2 linked regions of the Tamandua tetradactyla genome follow. The protein of the gene in region 1 purifies or fractionates together with the protein of each later gene. This does not show direct contact. Links are inferred from orthologs where the notes say so. Each region holds a gene or a part of one and is shown in the gene's direction. Other genes may lie near its edges.

Region 1 (11,441 bases):
GGCCAACGATTTCCTCTGTGTCTATAATTATTCAAACAATCTCCTCTTTGGGGGTAGGGGTGGGGTAGGAGAGACAACCCAAGGGAACACTCCAAAAGCTCCCCTTCAGCACAACCCCAAATTTCCTTGCAGTCACCAACTATGTCCTTATAACCTGTGCATCACCAGTACCCAGCACAGTGCTTGGCCCAGAGCTGGCCCTCTGAAAGTTCAATGAGTGAATGGCTGCAAGAGCGAACGAATGAATGAATGAATTAAGTGACCAAGTAATTAAAACAAGAGGACCTGCAACATTTGTCTTGTGGTCACTTAACTGTGCAGAGGGAGGACCACTGACCCCCGGCATTTTCTGGGGGCCTCCTCCCCCACCCAGGACCCCAGTACCCACCAGGGAGAAGTGGATGCCCAGCCTGGCTGCAGGAGAAGCCCCCTCTCCTGGGGAAGGGGGTGGGAGCTGTTCCTACCTCACAATCCATGCATTTAGTCACCGGGCACAGTTGACCAGCCCAGGGCATTTCCTCAACTCCCAATCTCCCTAGAAACACCGACTCGGGGGTCTGAGCTCCCTGGGGCTCCCAAAACAAATGACCCCAAACTGGACGGCTTCAAACAACAGGAATGTTTTCTCTCCCAGTTCAGGAGGCAAGACTTCCAAAGTCAAGGTGTGGGCAGCGTCGGTCGGTACCTCCCGGAAGCTCTTGGGGGCACAGTGGTAGGAGGTGGCCGGCTGTGGGGCAGATGGTGCTGGCTCTGGGGGGCCTTCAGCCGGAAATCTGTTCCATGCCCCTCTCCTGGCCGCTGGTCCCTGCCGTCTGCCCTCAGGGTTCCACTCTCTCCATCTGCCCCCACACAGCCTTCCCTTCCATGTGTCTCCATGTCATCTTCTCTCCTATAAGGATCCCTGCCATTGAATTTAGGGCTCGAATGTATTTAAGAGCCTTAGCTTAATTACATCTGCAAAGACTCTTCCCAAATGAGGTCACAGTCACAGTGAGAGGTTCCGGGTAGACTGTTGTTGTTGTTGTTGTTTTGTTGGGGGGCATCGGGTTGGGGGCAACCATTCAATCCGGCACCTGGGCAAGGCAGGGAGCTTGGAGGGAGGGGCTGGCGGGCCCCCCGGATGGGGACCACGTCAGGGCCTCGAGGGCTGATGGGGCCGGACCAGGGAGGGCAGGGCCGGGCGTGGCTGGAGATAAGCCAAGCCAGAGCATCTGGGCCCCACTGGGACAGGCCGAGTGCTCAGGGCAGAGGAGAAGCTGGTTCCAGGGAGGGCAACAGCGTGATTTGCTTTCACCCAGAAGTCAGAGCTGAGCCCTGGATGGCTTGTCACCATGGGAACCCATGTAGCCATGTCACTCCAACTCAGTATGGGCATGGCCAGGCTCAAAGGGAAACACGGGAGGGTCCTTGGGAGAGGAAGGGGCTCCAAGGCCCTCTGGCCACTGTGGGGGCCCAACTGGCCGGAGCTAAGGTGAGAGTCCTGAGATGAGACTACTGATCCGGGTGGGCGAGGATAAGTTCCGTCCCAGAGGGGGCACGGAAGAGGTAGGAAACAGTCCAAGACGTGTTTTGGAAATAGAATTGGGAGGATTTGCTGACAGATAAGAGGCAGGGGTGTGGGAGAAAGCCAGGTGTCGTGGGTTGAATTGTATCCCCTAAAAAGATATTTTCAAGCCCCAACTCCCCAGTACCCTTGAATGTGGCCTCATTAGCAAATAGGGTCATTGCAGATGGAAGTGATTACATTAAAACGAGGGCAGACTGGAGCAGGGTGGGCCCTTAGCCCAATACGAAGGGGAGAAGCGACGCAGAAATACAGAGAATACAGCCGTGTGAGACAAGGCAATGCTTGGAGCAACGCATCTACAAGCCAAGGGTAGCTGGCAAGCACCAGAAGCTGGGAGAGGCTGGGAAGGATTCTCCCCTACAGGGTTTTGGAAAGAGCACGCCCCTGCTGGCCCCTGGATTTGAAACTTTGGTCTCCGGAGTAGTGAGAAAATAAGTGGCTGTAGTTTTAAGCATCCCCACCCCGCACCCCCACCACCCGCCAAGTTTGAGGTCCTTTATTACGGCACTCTCTAGAAAGCAGCATGGCCAGCACTGCTCACGAGAACTCTGTGAGCTGTGGAAGTAATTTTCAAAACAATTTTTTTTGCGGTAACATATATATGACATAAAATGTCCTATTTTAACCACTTTCAAGGATACAATTCAGTGGGACTAATTACATTCACAATGTTGTACCACCATCACCATCATCCATCGCCAAAACTCTTCCATCACCCCAGAAAGAAACTCTGAACCCATTAATTATGCACTTCCCATTGCCCAGCCCCCTCCACAGCCCAGGCATGCCTGTTTTTTTTTCCAGGCATGCCTCTTGATCAGGTAGGTGCCTTGGGAAATCCCTGACACCCTCTCAAACATTACGGACTCCCAAGCTAATAGGCCAAGCCCTTGATCTTTCTGTTTGTTTGTTTTGTTTTCTCACTTCATTGTTCTTCATTCTTTTTATGTGAAAAATTGCAGTTAAGTGCAATTTGCTCTAGTTTGATTAAAACGTTACAACAGTTACCAATTCAAAACTATTAATAGATAACTTTTCCTGAAAAATGAACTGACTGTAAGTGAATAAAAGGGAACTGTGGAGTAGCTTGTGTAGTTGAACTGATGAGTAGGAGGAAAGTGGCACAAAAAGAAGATGGCCAGGAAGTAAAGGTCAGATCACATTGGAACTCATGATCTATGGTAAGGTTTTTTTGTTTTTTTGCTTTGTTTTGTTTGTGTGTTTGTTGCATGGGCAGGCACTGGGAACTGAACCCGGGTCTCCGGCATGGCAGGTGAGAATTCTGCCACTGATATGGTAACGTTTATATTTTATTTTAAATGCAGTTGAAAATCAGTGCATATTTTAAGCAGCTCTGTGGATATGAATTATAGAGAAAAAGAACAGAAGCAGAGAGAGAGTAGTTAGTTGATAATTAGGAAACTATTGAATCCAGGTAAGAAATGATGGTAGCTTTGAATGGAGAGGTGATATAGCTAAGAGAGCAAACAGGGTTTGCTGGTAGATTTGGCTATGGGGGATGAGGAAAGGGAAGAACTTGAAAATTCCTCCAGCTTCCCAACTCCCAGTCACAAACGTACTTTCTCATCCCCCCTGTATGCAAATCAACCATGTTACCCCACTATTGTTTGATGCCACCTGCGTAAAATCAAAGGATGGCATATGTGGCCTTTCCTATCTCTCTTACCTCCTGCTCCAGCTTCTTATCTCTTATCACTTACCATTATTCCACCATAGCTTTCACTAACTTCTCTAAAAGAGATATAGATATTTTCATATTTGTATTGATTTCGTATTCGTGAGACCATTATCACACTCAACAGAATTAATAATGAATCAATATTTGATGACTTCTAATAACTAGTTCATAGCTACATTTTCACAATTGTCTCAAAATATCCTTTTACAGTTGGTTTGCAAAATACAGTTGTGAAGCCTTTGGCAAAGAAAATAACTTTAAGAGAAGATGCTGGAGTTCCAAAAGTCTGACTTTAATACAGAAACTTCCAAGCTGATGTCATGACTAATAGATTCCAGGAGATTATATGATGATGTAAGAGCTTGTTTGTTTGCTTGCTTCCTTCACCTTCACTCAAGAAAGGCTGATGGGTCAGGACCACCTCTGTCAGCTGTGAAGTCACGTGCCTGGCGTCTGTTGGTCCCTTGCTCCTGAGCTCTGTTGCCTTCAGCCTCTATGCCTGTGGGGGTTCGTCACTGTGCTTCTCCAGGGCTGGCTTTCATCTCTTAGCTTCCCTTGCTCTCTCCAGGTTCTGGCTAGCTTAGCATCTCATGGCGACATCCGCTGGGCTCCAAGCATCTCCAAAACATACGTGTCTCTGTTTCCTGAAGCAGCTGTTCTCCAAGTGTCTACATCTGCTCTCTGTTGGCTCTGAGGCTTCTATTATTTCTTCAAGCTCTTGATCTTGAAGCTTGACCTTATGAAACATTTCTGTAGTGGAGAAGCTAAGGCTGCCTATAATTACTCCTAAGAGTTACTTCCAGAAAACCTCTTTTGTTGCTCAGATGTGACCTCTCTCTCTCTGAGCCCAGCTCTGCAAGGAAAATCATCCTCGCCCTACGTGAGACATGACATCCTGGGATGAAAGTCTCCCTGACAATGTAGGACATGCCTCCCAGGGATGCGCCTGGCTCAGGCCCTGTGAGACCGACAATGCCTACCTGACCAAAAGGAGGAAAAGATACGTAACAAAATAAGGTATCCCTGGCTAAGAGATTTCAAATAGAGTCAAGGAGCTATTCTGGAGGCTGCTCTTATGTAAGCTTCAGCTAGATATTGCTAATGGCCATAGTTTGCCAAACCCCAACCAACAGTATTCCTGAAAACCCTAAAGAACACCCTGGGTTCTATCTGAGACTCTATAAAGTTTCCGTCACTAAGTTAGTTTTTCAGAAACCTAAAACCTATGGATAGTCCATAAGCCAGATAAACCCTGAAACCAGAGGTACTAGTCTCTCCAAAAACATCAGCCAGTGTATCTCCCTGCCCCGTATTGTTGACACCCCTTTTCAACATGAAGACCTTAGAATGGTCATTGCCCAAATACCCCTAAATTATATTGGGAGAAGGATCAAAGGAGAAGGAGGAGCTGTAACAGATAAGATATTTAATGAATGAGTATGACTGCTGAATCATTATATTGATATTTCTTTTAGTCTCCAGTGTCTTGGAACAGCCAGAAGGAAATACCTGAAATTGTGGAACTATAACCCATACCATACTTTGAAATCTGTTCTATAACAATTAAAATGTTCTTTGAAATCTGTTCTAGTTTGCTAGCTGCTGGAATGCAATATACCAGAAACAGAATGGCTTTTTAAAAGGGGAATTTAATGAGTTGCTAGTTTACAGTTCTAAGGCCAAGAAAATGTCCCAATTAAAATAAGTCTAAAGAAATGTCCAATCAAAGGCATCTAGGGAAAGATACCTTGGTTCAAGAAGGCCGATGAAGTTTAGGGTTTCTCTCTCAAGTGAGAAGGCACATGGCGATCACAGTCAGGGCTTCTCTCTAGCTGGAAGGGCATATGGTGAACACGGCATCATCTGCTAGCTTTCTCTCCTGGCTTCCTATTTCATGAAGCTCCCCGGGAGGCATCTTCCTTCTTCATCTTCAAAGGCCGCTGACTGGTGGACTCTCTGCTTTGTAGTGTTGCTCTCTCTGAATCTCTCTGAATCCCTTTCTCCAAAATGTTTCCTCTTTTATAGGACTCCAGTAAACCAATCAATACCCACCCAAATGGGTGGAGACATGTCGTCCCTTAATCCAGTTTAACAACCACTCTTGACTAAACCATATCAACCAGGGAGATGATCTCATTACAGTTTCAAATATACAGTATTGAATAGGGACGATTCTACCTTTATGAAATGGGACTTATATTAAAACATGGCTTTTCTTAGGGGGCATACTTCCTTTCAAACCAGCACAAAATTTATCACTTTTTTGTATATATTTTATATTTCACAATAAAAAAAGGTTAAAAAAAATTCTGGTGAGAGCTCGCTCATCAGTTTAGATCTAGTTTCACCTGTAGAGCTGTGTTCCAGTAGCTTTGATGCTTGAAGACGATTGCATAATGATATAGCTTTTACACTGTGACTGTGTGATTGTGAAACCTTGTATCTGATGCCCCTTTCATCCAGGGTCTGGACAGATGAGTAAAAAAATATGGATAAAAATAAATAAATAATGGGGCATATAAGGGGTCAAATAAATTGGGTAGATTGAAATACTAGTGGTCAATGAGAGGGAGGGGTAAGGGATAGAGGCTGCATGAGTTTTTTCTTTTTATTTATTTTTCTGGAGTGATACAAAATGTTCTAAAAATGATCATGGTGATGAATACACAACAATGGGATGATATTGTGAGCCACTGGTTGTACACCATGTATGGCCTCAATGTGTGTGAAGATTTCTCAATAAAACTAGTTTTTGTTTTTGTTTTTGTTTTTTTTTGTTTTTGTTTTTGCACGGGCAGGCACCGGGGATCCAACCCAGGTCTCCGGCATGGCAGGCAAGAACTCTGCCTGCTGAGCCACGGTGGGTCACCCAAAACTAGTTTTTAAAAGAAGTATAACATTTCCCTCAATTTCTGTACTTAATTCTATTAAAATGGGGGCCTCCTGTTCTTTTCCTTCAAGATCTCTTCTCACTTGCTCTTCAATAAATTTGGCAGATTTTTGTTCATTAAAAAAAAGGAACCCCTTTGACATCCTCCCGCCCTCTCCAAGTGTGCGCAGGAGGCAGTTCAGATGCCAGCCTCGAGCAGGGCCCTAGGCACATTCCCACTGACAGCACTGGCCCAGCCTCAGCGGGGGTGGCAGAGGTCAGCCGAGCAGGAAGGGAGGGACAATAGCTGCGCCGCGTTGCCTGGACAGTCGCCGCGTGTGCCAGCCGGGTGGGGCCAGCGGGGCAGCCCGCAGCCGCTGAGCCTGGGCCGGCTCTCTCCTTTCAATTTGCCCCACTGCAAGCCTGCGCGGCGGGCACACTGGTCGCACAGACTCAGTCATTCCGCGAGGCGCCAGCAGGCTCGCTGCAGCCACAGACTACAATTTCCAGAATGGCCGCGAACCCCTGCTCCAGCTCCAGCTGCCCGAAGAGGCAGCTTTGAACTAAAACCAGGAATTTTCACCTGACCTGGGAACCGAGCGTCCCGAAGTGCCAGGTGCTGTGTGTGTGTGTGTGTGTGTGTGTGTGTGTGTGTGTGTTTGTGTGTGTCTTTATTTCTCGGATCTGTTCCTGCTTGGTAAATCCCGGTAACAAAACAAACCTGGAGAGGATGAGATTATCTCCTGGCGCACACTACACAGTTTGCTGAGACGCTTTTCCGCACCAACTTCGGGACCAGAAGGGATAAGAGAAACAGCCCCTGCCTTCAAGGAACTCGATCAGATGGAGGAGGCAGGCCCTCCAAAGTTTACCTCCCTGAGAGGGCAGTGGCTTGGGCTGGCTAGATTCTCTGCACAAAGTAGGTGCTCGATCAATTTTGGCCAAGGGAGCCCACACCGAATAGGCTGTCTCGCTCTCGTGACCATCCGGTTGCAGCTCTTTACGTTGCCTTCCAGGCTTCTAGGATATTGCATTTATCCTTCAAGTGTGCTGTCTCTAGGCCCCATCTCCGGGCCTTTGCACAGGCTGGTTCCTTCCGTTAGGAGCTGAGTCCGCCTATCCCGGGATGTGTCTGCAGAGGTAGGTCAGCGCCTAGCACTGAGCAGCTGCATGGTAGATATTTGATGAGTGATTGAATGAATGAACGAATGAATGAATGTCTTGTCCATTGTGAAGTCCTAGGACGCCGAGACACTCAGGCCAGCTCCCCCCTCCCGCCTCCCATTCATCTCAGCTCCCCCCGCCCCCGTCCCCGCCCGCCAGTCTGGAATGAATGCATCTTTTGATTCACCCCGAGGATGGCCGCGCCAGGGCCGGTAACCGGGTTAGGGGCTGCCCTCAACACCCTCTTCCCCGCCCAGACCTCCTCTAGGGCTCGCTTTTGCGGACGTTGGGAATTCGCATCTTCTTCCCGAAATTCACCCTAGGTCACCAGACCCACGCCCGCCCCTTAACCCCCAGCCCTCCGAACACTCCAGCGGACACTGGGCGAGTAGCACGTGGTCCAGGGGCCTCAGCTGCCCATTGGCCGCTCGCCTCCTTCCCTCCCGCGATTGGCCGCCCTGCCGCGGTTACCCCCTCCGCTGCCCTGCGGTGGTACAGCCCGCCGTGGCCTAGCTGGGGGGGAATAGTCCACTGTGCCGCGCCGCAGGGGGATCGGGAAGAGCCACGCGGGGCGGAGGGATCCCTCTGGAATGCGGTCAGGCCCACCCGCCGCGGGAAGGCGCGGATTGGCCGCGAGCGCCGGACCGCAGGCGCTGATTGGCTAGGCGCGGGCGCCGGCCCCGCCCCTCCTGGCCGCTGCTGCGGGAGAGGCCCCGGCCGGAGTTTGCGGAGGGCCGAGCCCGGCGCGCTCAAGAGGCGACGGCCCAGGTGAGTGTCCCCCGCGGCAGGACGCGGACGCTCGGGGACCCCGGGGCGGACACGCGGGGTCGCGGACACGCGGGGTCCCGGCTGATCCGCTGTGCGCGGGGTGCGGTCGAGCCGGTGGACGCGGCTGGAGGTCCGGCTTGGACACGGGGATGCCCGCCGCCCCTTCCCAGGGGGGCGCCTCCCCTCCCGCTGGGGACAGTGGGCAAAGGCGTCTCCGCCGCTGGGCAGGGGTCTCCGGATGCTCCCCCTGCCCCCCTTGCACAGTCCCCATCCCCACGGGGATGGGCGCGAGTCTAATATTTCTGCCCCCTATCCGGACACCTACCGGGAACTGGCCGCGTCCGAGCCCTCCAGGGCTTGTGGGGGGCCCCGGGAGAACCAGGTCCAGATAATGGTAATGAAAAGGTGGCCCCGGCTAGGATTTGAGTGCTTCCGTGTCAGGCAATTAGCATGCATATCACTGAGTCTAAACACCTCGTGGGAACTGCTGTTACTTCTTTTAGAGGTGAGGCTGCAGACACAGAGAGGTGGAGCGACTTGCCCCAGGTCACACAGCTAGTAAGTGACTCAGCTGGGACTCGAACCCATGGCTCTGAGTCCTGAACCTCTGGACTCCATGCCCAGTAGCTCCGTGGATCAGGTGCACTGGACCAGTTGCTCTACCAGCTTACCCTTGCCCCTACCTTAACACCCCGGAGCCACACCTCCTGGGCTTTGCCTTCCCCCCAACCCTGAAGTCACCAGACACCTGTCGCTCAAACAGGAAGCTGCTCCCATGTTCCTTCTCCTCTGAACTGGAAAGGCAAAAATCAAATACCTCCTGGGTCCTGAGAAAAGAATGATATGGGGCAGGGGCAGGGGCCTGGAGTCCTAAGCCCTCTGGATTTCCCAGCCACTCTAGGCAGTCTGAGTCTAGCCCAGGCAGTAGGCGTTCTCCCTGGAAACACCCAGGAGCCGGTTTTTCAAGACTGAATCAGAGGCCTCCTGCCCTCATTCTTGCCAAAGCGCTACCCTGCTGGAAGGGGGAGCCTGGGTGTGGTGTTCTGCCCCAGCCTTGTATGAGCTGCCAGGGACCCTCTTTCCTACTTCCTGCTTGCCCCACTGCGCTTCTGTTTGGCTCTGGGGTTGCTAAGTTTCACACCCTTCCCAGGGATGCAAGGGAGGGGATGCTGCAATTCCAGCTTGTAGCTCTGTGCTGGGGGGTTGAAGTTTGTCTTCTCTGCCCTCATGATCAGATTTGAGGAGCAGTGCCAATATAACAACCCCATAGCAGGCATGTTCGGGGGCTGCTCTGAGGATAGGGGTCTCAGGACAGTAAGAACGAGGACATTCCACAAATATTTCATTCATTCCAAAAATATTTACTGAGCATCTACTAAGTGCCCAGGCCCTGTTCTTGGCATAAAGAGTGCAACAGCGATCAATCTCTGCTCTCTGGGAGCTGACATTCCAGTGGAGGGAAGCTGGCAACACAGAAGTTAACAAGTAAATAAATAAAGAAGATTTCTGCAGATTGTGATAAATGCAAAATAGAAAGGGGTGATATGATAGAGAGAAAAGAGAAAGAAAAAATCTCAAGGGAGGTGACTCTGGAGCTGAGGCCTGAATGACAAAAAAGGCACCAGCTCAGCAAAAATCCGGCAGAGGGCACAGCCCTGAGACTGGATGGAGCTTGGCGCAGCATGCCTGGGGCAGGAGATGAGTTCTACAGCAGCCTATGGTTGAAGGAATTTGGAGTTTTTCCGCTGTAAGATGGGGAACCATTGAAAGGTTGGAGGCAGGGGAGTGGTGCAATCTGGTTTACATTTTAAAATAGAGACAGCGTTAAATAACGGCTCAAGCATGGAAGACAAGCGTTCTGTCAGGACAACATGTAATTAAGTGCATTGGCTTAAGTCTCTGGACCACAGGGGTGGTTCCAGCAGGCTGGGACAAACCAGGGTGGCTGCCTGGAGGAGATGGTGTGGAGTTGGCTTTATCAGGCTGAAAGGACTGGGATGTACCTTGGCAGAATGGGGAAGGGGAAAACAATATTAATAGCAGTAATAATAACAGCTTCCTAAAGTGTGTGTCAGAGCAGAAAGTTAGTTATATGCATAATCTCCCTAAGAGATGGGAATTCTGCCTTTTTTCAGATGAGGGAACTGAGGCCTCGTGAAGTGAATTGACTTGCCCACAGTCACACAACTGGTAAGTGGCAGGGGTGGGATTCAAACCCAGGCCACACTGCCTTTCTGGGCCTGGAAGGCAAATTCATTAAGCATCCTCACCACCATTAGTCCCAGTTTGCAGGTGAGGACCCAGAAGCTGGCCTGAACTGGGGCAGTGAGTTGTGAGGTAGGAGAGAGAACAACAGAGAGGTTAAGATACCTGCTCAGGGAAAGGGGGAAAATTCAACTTCCCCAAGTGGAGAATTCTTGATATTCTCACAAGCTGTGGGGACAACCAAAGTAATAGGCTGAGCCCCCAATCTTGGGGTTTGCTCATATGAGCAAACTTAATCCCACAAAGGATAGGCTAAGCCTACTTAAAATTAGGCTTAAGCGTCACCCCCAAGAAAACCTCTTTTGTTGCTCAGATGTGGCCTCTCTCTCCAGCCAACACGACAAGCAAACTCACCGCCCTTCCCCTCTCTATGTGGGACATGACTCCCAGGGGTGTGGACCTTCCTGGCAACGTCAGACAGAAATCCTAGAATGAGCTGAGACTCAGCATCAAGGGATTGAGAAAACCTTCTTGACCAAAAGGGGGAAGAATAAAATAAACAAAATAAAGTGTCAATGGCTGAGAGATTCCAAACAGAGTCGAGAGGTTATCCTGGAGGTTATTCTTATGCATTAAATAGATACCACCTTGTTAGTCAAGATGTAATGGAGAGGCTGGAGGGAACTGCCTGAAAATGTAGAGCTGTGTTCCAGTAGCCATGTTTCTTGAAGATGATTGTATAATGATATAGCTTTCACAGTGTGACTGTGTGATTATGAAAACCTTGTGTCTGATGATCCTTTTATCTACCTTATCAACAGACAAGTAAAATATATGGAATAAAAATAAGTAATAGGGGGAATAAATGTTAAAATAAATTTAATAGATTGAAATGCTAGTGATAGATGAAGGGGAGGGGTAAGGGTATGGTATGTATGAATTTTTTTCTGTTGTCTTTTTATTTCTTTTTCTGAATTGATGCAAATGTTCTAAGAAATGATCATGATAATGAATATGCAACTATGTGATAATATTGTGAATTACTGATTATATATGTAAAAAGAAAAAAAGATACCTGCTCAGGGTCACACAGCTAGTAAGAAACAAAGCCAGGTTCCATACCCATTTTCTTAGAATTCCTATCTCCTGGGGCAATTCAGGAGGATTTG
Region 2 (10,907 bases), on another chromosome or scaffold:
TGAGGAAGCAGCAAGGAGACCAGGGTAGGAAAGTGGAAGGAGGAAGAGAACCTCAGGAAACGCCACCAAGGGGAAGCAGGGCATGTAAGGAGGGCCTTGGGAGCTCAGAACTTTTGAGTTTTGAACAAAGTCCTGATGGCATCTGACTTTTTAAAACGATCTGGCAGCTAACTGAGGGGTGGATGGCGGGAGGGTGAAGTTGGAGGCAGGCAGACCTGGGAGGAGCCGATGGCCGTAATTGAGTTGCGAGCTGATGGTAGAGTGGGGTGCCAGGAAGAGGTCGCATGGGGGACATGTCTGAAGGTTGAGCCGCTGGGAACGGGGGTTTGCCCGAGGAGGTTTTTCGGCTGGTTGTGTGAAGTCGCCATTTCCCAAATGCTGAAGACCAGGGGAGGGGGGTGCGTGGACCTGGGGGGTTGGGGGTGCCCATCGGGCACTAAGGTGGGCCGTGAGGGGTCTGAGCCTGCGGTCCAGAGGGGAGGTGGGCTCAGTCCTGAGCCTGGTCAAGAAGAGAAGAGATGGTGCAGCCCAGAGCTCTGGAGCATTCCAGCATTTAGAGGCTGGGAGATGAGGAGGGTGGATGAAGGCCAGGGAAGTAGGAGGGAGGCAGAGGGCAGCGGCGCCGGGGCCCGGGCAGCTGGGGGCTGCTGACAGGGGCTCAAGGACATGTAGAAGCTGGCTCATGCTCGGACCCCTGCCCGCTGTTTCCTGAGAACCGTGACTTGGCGTGGGTCCCTCCTGCCCTGGCTGAGCCTTCTGGATTCAGTCCTGGGCTGCAGCCCTGTGCTGGGGGGTGAGTGAGGCCGCTTCAGAGTGGGCTGTAGGTGTGTCTGCTGCACTCCCCGTCGTATGCTGAGCCCCGCGAACAAGGGCGCAGGCGGGCACAGGTGGGCACAGGCAGGCCCTTGATAAGTGCTTGTTGGGTGAATGATGGGACAAATGAATGAGCTAGTTAATGAAGTTCACTCATTCACTTAATGAAGTTCACCGGTGACAGCACAGAGCTCCTGGGGCTCAGACCTCATGATCCTGGCTCCTGACCTCTCCATGCCCCAATGTTCCCAGCTGTGGAAGGAGGTCCCCTGTCCTGGGAATGGTGAGCAGAGCGCTTGGACATAAGGTGCTCCGTCAGCGTTTGCGGGGACCCCTGAATTCATCCCCTCTAGGGCAGGATTCCTAGCAAGTTATCACTGCTTCGTTGTCTCATCTCCGTTACTTCAGAGCCGCAGTGGGCACCTCCTAGGGTCCGTCCCTGTTTTCTGTGCAAGGGTGTTGCATTCATCTGCAAGTGACATCTGCCTGTTAAAGAAGGGGCACCCACCCCTTCACCCCAGCCTCCCACCCCTAACTCGGGGGTGGAAGAAGGGACAGCTCAGTACTGGTTCTTCCAAAGGAGATTATTTTAGAGACCTGAAGTTTAAGGCTTGTTCTAACTTGATGACTTTGAAGTATTGCACAGTTCTGCTTCCCTCGAAACTGCCAACGAAACTCCCTGGTACTCTTTGCTCGTCTCTCGTGTCCCCACGACTGCGATCCGCCCCCCGGGAGGAAGGTGACTGCGTGGCCCAGGCAAGCGAGGGGCTCCCAGGCCTGGGTCTGAGTTTGTGGCTCCTTAAGGTTTTCTTGTTTCTTGGTAGGGAGGAGACTCGTGCACACGTGCTCACCCCTGCACACACACACACACACACACAGTGCTGACGCATATCCAGGGAGGCGGGTGACCAGCGTTCGTGCCCTAACCTTCCCTTCCTGTATTTTGCAGCATTTCATTGCGCACATTTTCTGGCGTATACGCAAGTAGGGGCAACAGTCCCGTGGACCTTTGTGACCCGGTTACAAGGCAGATTGGCGCTTCATGCCCTCTGACCCCAGCGCTCCTTGGCAGCAGAGCAAGGAGTGTGTAAAGGCGGGGACCTGAGCTCGGGCGGCCTGGATCCGAGGCCCCGGGGTCCTGGCTCCACAGACTGTCGCGGGTCACTCTCCAGGGAGGACCGTGATGCGTGGGAGGCGGGAGGGGAGACCTGGGCGTCCCGGAGGCGAGGGCCGTGGGGAAGGCAGGACGGCATGCGCTGCTTTGGGGGTCGTGGTGGGCAGTGGACCTGGAAAGATGAGTGAAAACCAAGACACGGAGGCCTGCGTGTGTCAGGCTGAGCGATTTGAACTTTGCTTGTTCAAAGTGGGGGGCAAGCCCCAGAGGTGTGAGGCTGAGGGGCTACGGGACCCCCAAGACTGCTGTGAGGAAACTCGGGGCCTGCGTGAGGAGTTGGTGGGAAGAGCCTGAGCGCCTCTGGGACTGTGCAAGGGGCGAAGGGCTGGGGGGAGGGGCGGGGGGGGTGAGAGGCGACGAGAGGGGGTGTCCACGCGGAGAGAGGGGGTCCGGGAAGCCCAGGTCTGGTCCGAGCTGGAGGGTGATTTGGAGGTCAGAGCTCAGAGGCCGCAAGGAGGTGAGGTACCTGGGGGAGCCATGAGAGGGGCTTTGAGACTGAGCCCAGGGGGCTCTTTTATAGGGAAGGGGCTTCTCTTGTAGGTGGGGAGGAAGGTACTCAGGGAGGAGGAGGAGGCGGAGGCACAGAGCTGGCCTCCCGGTGGGGTGGTGCGGGGGCAGCAGTGCCGGGTGCAGATGGCCTCTGTGCAGACGGTGGGGGGAGAAGTGCAGGACACAGCTTTGCCCTCACCCTGAGGGCACCAGGCAGGGGAGAGGCCAGGAGTGGGGCCTGGCCAACTTGGGCCTTGGGGCGGGCTGCCCTCTCCTCCTCTGCCTGCCCCCCCACCCCAGGCCACTGCCACCCTGGGCTCTTCGTCTCGCGGCAGCTCTGGGGACTTGCAGGAATCTGGGCCCTGAAAAGCTCATCTCCTGCCCATCACCCGGAAGAGACCCCGACTTTTCTTCCAGCTGCTTATCAGGGTGTCCTCCGGGTGCCCCACTTAGCAAAGCAAAGCTTGCTGTTGGCTCCTCCCCGGCCCCGGGTAAAACCAGCCCCATCTGGGCCCTCCACACCTCCAGACGTGGGGGCTGCCCAGGGCGTGAGGAGGCCCTCGGGTGGTCTCTCTGCTGCCAGCCCAACCCTGCTCCTCAGTGTCTCTCCTAAACCATGTCAGTGGTTTTCAAGGAAAATGGCAGCACACCTTCCAGTTTATCTTATCTGCAGCCAAAGTTATCCTTCCTGAGTGGAGACCTGCTGTGGCTTGCGGGGACCCCGGGGACTGCCCATCCCCGTCCTGGCCATGCTGTACCCTGTTTCTCCCTGGTACCCACTGAGTTTTTTGGGCCTCCGTGCGGGTTGTGCCCATGTGCTCTGTCTGCCAGGCTCTTCCTGGCAGTGGCACTCGCTGCCACGTCACCTGGGCAGCTCCCCAGCCTCTGCCAGGACTCAGGGTCCTCAGGAGCAGAACCACGGCCAGGCCTGTCCACCCCCTACCCTGGCTAGCACGGCCCAGGGCACAGCGCCACACCCGGGTCCCAGAACAGGGGGTGCCGTGAGGCTGTGCAGCCGTGTCCCCCTTGTGTGCCCCCTTTGGCTATTTTGTGGACTCCCCCCTTTAGCGACACATCAGCCAAAAGGCTTTCAGAGGAGGCACGAGGAAGGTCCCCTTTATCACGGAGCCCCTCCTCGCCAGGTCAGAGTGGGGTCTCCTTGAAGAATTCCTGGGGTGCTTCTTCCCGCGGCCACCTGGGCTGGGGCATGCCTGGGCCGCAGGGACTCCCAGATTGAGGAGTGTGTTGGTGGGGGCCTCTGCCCACGTGGGAGCCCGCCGGGTCCCCAGCCTCCCAGCTGGCAGCTTGGAATTGAGCTGTGGCCTTGTGACTCGATGTCCCCAAATGCTTCTGCTCCGTCAGCCTATAGGTCAGATTTAGAGCCCACCCGGCAAACAGACAGTGGGCTTGTCATGGATTGAATTGCTCCCCCTCCTCCCCAATAAAAACCCCAGTCCCGTGACTGTGATTCCGATTGGAAATAGCACCTGGGAAGATGTCACTAGCTAAGGTGAGGCCAGCTGGGTTAGGGTACGGCCTAATCCAGTGTGGCCCTTGTCCTTGCAAGGGGAAGTTGGGGCACAGTCAGGAGAAGGACCCCGGGGTGGGGGGAGAGCGCCCCGTGACGGAGCCCTGCGCCACGGGCAGGCCATCTCCAGACTGCTGCTGAGGTTGCAGCGGCTGCAGGTCTCCGGCTCCGGCCTCCGGCAGTGGGAGAGCCAGAGCCCTGGTGTTTCGGTGCTTTGTTATGACAGCCCTAGGATGCTTCGGGCTCAGAATTATCCAACCCCCAGTCCCCCAGCCACACACACAAACACTTTCCATGTTGATTCTCTCCAGTAAACTAAACTTAGTCTTTTGGGTCAAAAGGAGTTTTGTGCCATCTCTCTGTATTTCAGCGTATGTCCTTGTTCCTGCTGAAGGCTGTGGCCGCCGGGGCTGGCGTTGGTTCCGCCGGGGCAGTCTGTGCCCAGCAGGGCCCACCCACAGGGTCCCCTGGCCTGGGGGCTCCTGGTCCATGCAGAGCAGTTTCTGGAAAGTCTGGGTGGCTGCTGGACCTCTGCGGCCAGCCCTGCACACAGCTCTGTGCGGCCAGGGAGCTTCGGTCCCGGTGGGGTGGGGTAAGGGCCACCAAAGCCTCAGGCCGCACGAGGGCCCTGCCGGAGGGGGAGTGTGGGGTGGGGAGCAGAAGTGGGCAAACATGCCTGAACTCGGGGACGGAGATAGCTGGCACCCCTCCCAGCCTGGTGCCTGGGCCAGCCTCTGTGGAGGCGAGTGGCCCCCCAAAGTGCAGTGTTCCGCGGAGGAGGCGTGCGGGGTGCGGGGTTAGGGAAGGAAGGTCTCTACGCTGTAACTGCACAGGCGGGTGTCTCGGTTGTCTCAGAACAGCCCACGAGCTGCCTGGCGCTAAGTGACAGCAAGGTGTCAGCACCAGGGCTGGAGGCCACAGGGACCCGACCAACCCCTGAGCCCCCTGAGCCCCCCAAACTCTGCACAGGAGTCTTCCTCGCCTCTTCCACCCTCGTGGTGGCCCCAGACGTCCCAGGGCAGGTGGCAGTATCTCCCCATCCGCCCCCTTCTCCCTTGCCCAGAGTTCCCCTTAGGAGGAGAAGCCCATTGCCAGGAGTCCTGGGCTGGCGAGCAGGGGCGTGCAGGAGCACAGACCGACGGCTGTGGACCCGGTAGTTCTGGGGTGAACTCGCTGCCCTCAGGTGCGCCCGGCGCTGAGCGGTGGGGCCAGTGCAGCCTGCTTTGGAGGGGACAGCGTGTTCCTGTGGACCCGTGCGTGGCACCCACTGCCCTGTAGCCAGCCCTCCACGCGTCCTTTCCTGGCCACACCCCGCAGTGAAGGGTCTGCTTAAAGCCAGCCTCCTCGTTCATCTCCCAAACCCCTAAAATGCCCAAGGCCTATGCCCCCACCCCACCCCCAGGAGGGACTCCTATGCTTTGCCACAGCAGTGGTCTCCGCTGTCCTGGTGAGGTCACAGTGGTCAGCTAATGTGCCACAGTTTCATCTGCATAAGTTACACTGGACGTGCCTCACCTACTGAAATGGCCTCTTCTCTATTTTGTTTATTATTATTATTAAGTCCATAGTGAATGCATGGGCAGGGGGCATATCTGCTCTCCTGACCCTCAGAGCCCACCACTGAGGGCAGTGGACATGCCCTCTGCTAACCGACCCCTGGGGCCCTGGCCCGGCAGGGACCGTTCCTCCAGTGAGAACGGCTATTACCTGGGCCAAGGGAGGCTTTTTCTCTTTTCCTGAACCCTGGAGCCAGCAGTGGGGGTTGCACAGATCCCATTTTGTCCCTCTCTTTGACAGCAGTGAATGGGCCTGCCAGGTGCTGGGACCCATCTGACAAACCCCGCTGTGCCCCAGGAAGAGTGGACACAAGACGCCAGGATGCTGCTCGGGTTGTCTGTGCCAAGGGAGCCGATGAAATGGGCACAGAGGGTTGTGAGCAGACTTCTCCTTGCTCTGCTTTCTTGAGCCAGGAAGAATGGAATGGGTCTAGGTCTATCTTTATTGTAATATCTTCTGGAGAAAAGAATTCCCACTTCCCATCACATTTCTATTTAACGCATGTGTCACTTGCTCAAAGGAAATGCTTTCTCTCCCCCCTCCCCCCTTCAGGTGGAAGGACATTGCAGAGTGGACACCACAGGGAGCCTTGGTTGCTTGAGACAGAAACTGCTGCAATCGCTGGAATAACTGGAGGAAGAAACATGAGCCCTTAGCAGCTTGGTCTGGAAGAGGGGTCAGGATGGCAGCTCAGCGGATCCGAGCTGCCAACTCCAGTGGCCTCCCCCGGTGCAGGTCAGAGGGGACTCTGATTGACCTGAGCGAAGGGTTTTCAGAGACGAGCTTTAATGATGTCAAAGGTGAGCCGCTGGTGAACTGGACTTCGGCAGAGGGAAGAGATGGGGATTCACAAGCGCATTACGTCCCCAAAACTTGCCTGTATAAAGGCTGCCAGTTTAGCCTTCAGATAATTAAATTGTAGTTCTCCAACTTTGTCCCGTTATAAATTAAGCCCTGGAACAGTCTCCACTTGTTTTGTTTTTTGGGAGCGTCAGAAAGTTATGAATGTTCCCCAGGTATTGAAACCCCGTCTTCATAAGGAATATGTTTTTCTCTTTTCATCCGTTTTGGTAAAAGGGATGGAGTTTGGTGGTAGAAAAATCTACAGAAAAGGAGAGTGAAGTAAATACATCAAATCTTGAGAACTGTTAGAGGGAAAATGGAGAATAAACAGAGGTCTAAGGCAGAGGTCAGCAACTCTTTCTTGAAAGGGCCAGAGAATAAATATTTTAAGCTCTGTGAGCCGGTCTCTGTCACAGCGACTCAGCTCCACAGTAGTTCCGAGCATCTGTGGAAATGGGTGAACAAGTGTTCGTGCTGTGTCCCAGTAAAACCTTATTCACCAGACCAGGCGGCCGGGCATCGTGGGCCAAGCCCTCTTCTAGAAGGTGAGTCCGGGATTTAATCACCCAGAGGCTCTAGGCTTCTCCAAATGTCCCATAAAATCAACCTGTCATTGGGACACCGAGGAAGAGCCATGGCATCATTTTCTTCCAGAAAGTCTTACCTGGTCTCTCCAGGCCAGGCACAGCCTCTCCTGCATGCCTTAGTGTTTTGTCCTCAGCATCCTCAGCTTTCTCGTAGCACTTACCCACTGCCCTGCATAGAGCAGGCTGAGCTGGGGGTGCTTTATCTTCAACCTTGAGTCCTCAGCCCTGTCATAGCTTAAGCTCCAAGTAAATGTTTTTTGAGCTGAACTTCTGTCCCCCAGATAAGATTGTGGCCTTCCATACTGGTGTCCTAAAAATTACGCCCACTGTGTTTTTCTCTTTCTAACTGATTAGCTTCTCCCTTCCCACTTTCTCCTTAACTTCTTCCTCTTCCTGTCGTTTCCTTGTGCTTGCAGCCCTGAGCCTTCCTTTAAATGTTCTACAAAAGAAAATATCAGCAAGGGGACCCATGAGGGTTTATTAGTACGCTGGCTGCAGTTGTTTTGGTGATGCGTAATTGTTTTCTTTGTAGCCCAACGAATCGGGGTTAGAGCTGCAAAAATGTGGGCATAAATTGGCATAGTTAGGCCAGCACCTTGAAGCAGGGGAAGAGTGCTGAATTCTTTAAAATTAAAGCAATCTGGGGAAAATGCATTGGCTGTTATTTGTAAAAGGCAACTGCACTGGGGATGGAAAACAAACAAGACAGCCCTTGATGGTGAACAGGCACAGGTCGGCTGGTGGAGGAGGGTGTTGGGGAAATCTGGTCCTGGGTAGGTCAAGGGGCCAAGGAGCCAGAGACCTGGCGTCTGGCCCAGGAAGCCTCGTTCAAAGCTCGAATGGGGGAGAGCGCTTCGAGTTGGGAATTTATTCCAGCCAAAATAGCCTGCCCCCAGTTACTTTACTGCAAGCATTGCGTGCCTAAGAATATGGAAGGATGGGAAATGTTTAGTCAGTGCCCTGAACTTCCTGACACGCAAGGAGGATTTTTGGTGTTAAAATCAAGGTAGCTCCGAATGAGGGCAGCGCTCCTGGGAATTCATTAAGATGGAATTGAAGAGGGATTTTCTGGCATCTGATCAGACAGAAGCACTCCCTGGTGCCCCCGTGGCCATACTGGGAAGGGAGTGAATGTCCTCCGCCCTCCATGCCACGGTGCCCGGCGCTCCTGATAGAAGGAGCTCTGTTTCCCAGGAGAAACCTGCCCCTCGGATGAGCTATGTCACCTCCCCCGTTCTGGAGGAGAGTGCTTGGGGTTTTCACTAAAGCCATTTTTATTCTTCATTCTGATGGAACTAAAGTGATAATTGGCATCGAGACACTTTCTCAGGCTGTGTATAAAGCATGCTCAGTTGCTTTGGTTTCTTAATTTTAAAAATTTCACTGTAAGGGAATTGTTCTGGGAGAAACATAAGGAGAATATAGCCTTGAGTGATTCTAACAAGATTTTAATGGCCAGCCAGCTTTCTTTAATCTTCGTTTGGCTTTCGTTTTTATATGGCATTTTCAGAACTGTGTCAAGGAAGCAAAAGATGGTTTATCCCATTGGGACCAGTATTGGCCAACCCAGGAGGGAGAAGTGAGCGCTCATTGTCTGTTATTCCAGCCTGACTCGCCTCCTCTCTTCCCAACCTTTCGCTTTACACTGTTTCTTTTACTTTCTTGTTCGAATTTACTCCCGTCCCTTGAGTGCACAGTGACTTGTCTTTGTGTGATCGTATGGCAGGGGGATTGCAGCTTTGCCTTTGGCCGACACTTCGATCCAGTAGCCAGCCATGCACCTCCCTGGGTATTATTAGCAGCCAAGATGACCATTCACTCCAGGAGCACTTACTTGGGCGCCTACTGTGTTCCAGCCTTTGTTTCCCAGGTATACAGTAGTGAGCAAAACCAGTTCTACTGGAGCTTACATCCAGATGGAGCCCTCCCCTGAAAAATGTAAAGCACACAATGCATTTTTTGGTGCCAAGTGCTAAGGAGAAAAATAAACTTAGGAAGGGGGTTGGAGATGCCAAGTTTAATATACATTGGGTGACACCTTCTGTTGGGCTGAACATCACTAGCCAAGCACTTTACCGATGTAGTTTCACTTACTCCTCACCATGGATAGCCCTCGAGCAAAGACCTTTCTTTTTTCTTCATCATGTCCATGAGGAATCACGGACCCTGGAGGTCACTCAGCTTGTTTCTCTGCCACACCCCATGGAGGTGTGGCATGGAGGATCCCTGGAATTTTCACAGGAGGGTCATGGGTGATGACCTCTAAGGTCGTCAAGGCAAATAAATGGACACTGCCTACTTTGTTTCCTAAGGCTTTGTCGAAGAAATGCAGTTTAATCTTCATCATTTCCTTTCACAGGGAAGGGAACTCAGCAGGTATGTTTTTGGAGGGCCACTTTGATGGAATTGGATCCCAGCTGACTTAATCATAACTTATAAAGGTTATGATTTATATACCTTTACACCATACACTATAAAGTACACTATACACAAAAACCTATACACTATAAAGTATAAAAGTAGAGTTCATCTAGAAATACTGTCTTTCCTTTTCTCCTTTGGGCAGGCAGCTGGAAAAAGTTTTCTTTGGCTCAGTAGTTTGTTACAAGAAGCACAAAATATGAGCGAACTGAGAGACAGGACATAGTAGGTGTGAGGCCCTAGGAAGTAATGGCGCTTATTTCCATCAGGAAGAACTTGCTTCACCCTCTGAATATACTTTCCCATGCGTGGGAGGCAGAGAAAAGACTTAAGATATCTACTTGTATTCATTAGATTTCAAATGACACCGCTTGTTCAGTGACTTTATTTTTTTGCTGTTGGAATTGCTCTCTGCCCTGGTAACACACAGTTTCGTGCCAGATATCCGTGATTAACTTGGTTCGCTTTTTTTTTTTCATGGGCAGGCTCCGGGAATCTTTTCTTTTTTTTTAATTAGATAAGCCGTAGGCTTACAGAAAAATCATACAGCGAGGCCCACTTTTCAAGTGGTAGAATCTTTCAGATGACTTAAATAATTGTTCAAAATAATGCAAACTATGACCATAAATATAGCCTTTGATTTTCAAGGCCTGTGAGAAGATCTATTTCCACGTTTCTATTTTGAGTGATCAAAGTAGAGGTTGAAAGAGACTGACCTCAAAAAATCTTATTTCATCTCTATAAACGTTTTGGTGAGAAGTTTAAGAAACAGGCCTGGTTGTCAAGGGAGGCGCCCTAACCCTAACCCTAAGCCTTTATGTGGGTATTTCGGGTTGAAGGTGGAAAATGTGGAATCAGCTCACAAACATCACAGAGGGATTTCTTGAACCTCTGTTTCCAGAACATAACTACATGGCCCGCTGAATGCAGAAGGTCTCTGTGTTTTCTGAGTAAATCAGTCAGTTCTCTATCAACTTAGGAGGCCATCAACCCCGTAAGGAGTTAGCTAGATGACAAAAAGTTGGGTCCAGCTGAAGCGTTTTGAAGTACTGCACTGTGTTGTTTCCACTGGGGATGGTTTGGGGATTCTCTTCATGGCCTTTCCAGCCTGTCTTAGCTGGATGGGTCAGAAAGTGGTGGAGTGTGGTATACCAGTAGCTCCATCATCAATCAGCTCACTGGCCAGCAGATGACACGCCAGACTTCACACTGGGCTGTTCCTGTTGGAGAAGAACCAGTTAGGTGCCCAAGCTGTTGTCCTTGTCTTGGGTATTTGCTTCTTCAATCCCTTTTCCCCTGGTCTTGGAAGATGTTCTGTAGCCCAGCTGAGCCTGGTCTTACCGTCTGTTTCTCTGTGTTTTGCACAGTGCCTTCTCCCAGTGCCTTGCTTGTGGACAATCCCACACCTTTTGGAAATGCAAAAGAAGTGATCGCAATCAAGGACTATTGCCCGACTAACTTTACCACCCTTAAGTTCTCCAAGGGTGACCATCTC

What was found.
Region 2: the proteins of GIPC1 (region 1) and SH3BP4 purify together in Homo sapiens (affinity purification with mass spectrometry; 4 studies listed by BioGRID and IntAct, with this or other methods). This does not show direct contact. The link is inferred for Tamandua tetradactyla from reciprocal best matches to the Homo sapiens genes GIPC1 and SH3BP4.

Annotation. Positions count from the first base shown.
Region 1 is NC_135337.1:88,469,486-88,480,926, forward strand, and holds the start of GIPC1 (PDZ domain-containing protein GIPC1), read left to right. Parts: upstream 1-6,461; 5' UTR 6,462-6,751; intron 6,752-6,764; exon of another isoform or gene 6,765-7,054; intron 7,055-7,151; exon of another isoform or gene 7,152-7,275; intron 7,276-7,977; exon of another isoform or gene 7,978-8,067; intron 8,068-10,202; 5' UTR 10,203-10,257; intron 10,258-11,441. UniProt on the Homo sapiens protein: May be involved in G protein-linked signaling.
Region 2 is NC_135329.1:212,017,123-212,028,029, forward strand, and holds the start of SH3BP4 (SH3 domain-binding protein 4), read left to right. Parts: upstream 1-6,367; 5' UTR 6,368-8,710; coding exon 8,711-8,861; intron 8,862-10,779; coding exon 10,780-10,907. UniProt on the Homo sapiens protein: May function in transferrin receptor internalization at the plasma membrane through a cargo-specific control of clathrin-mediated endocytosis.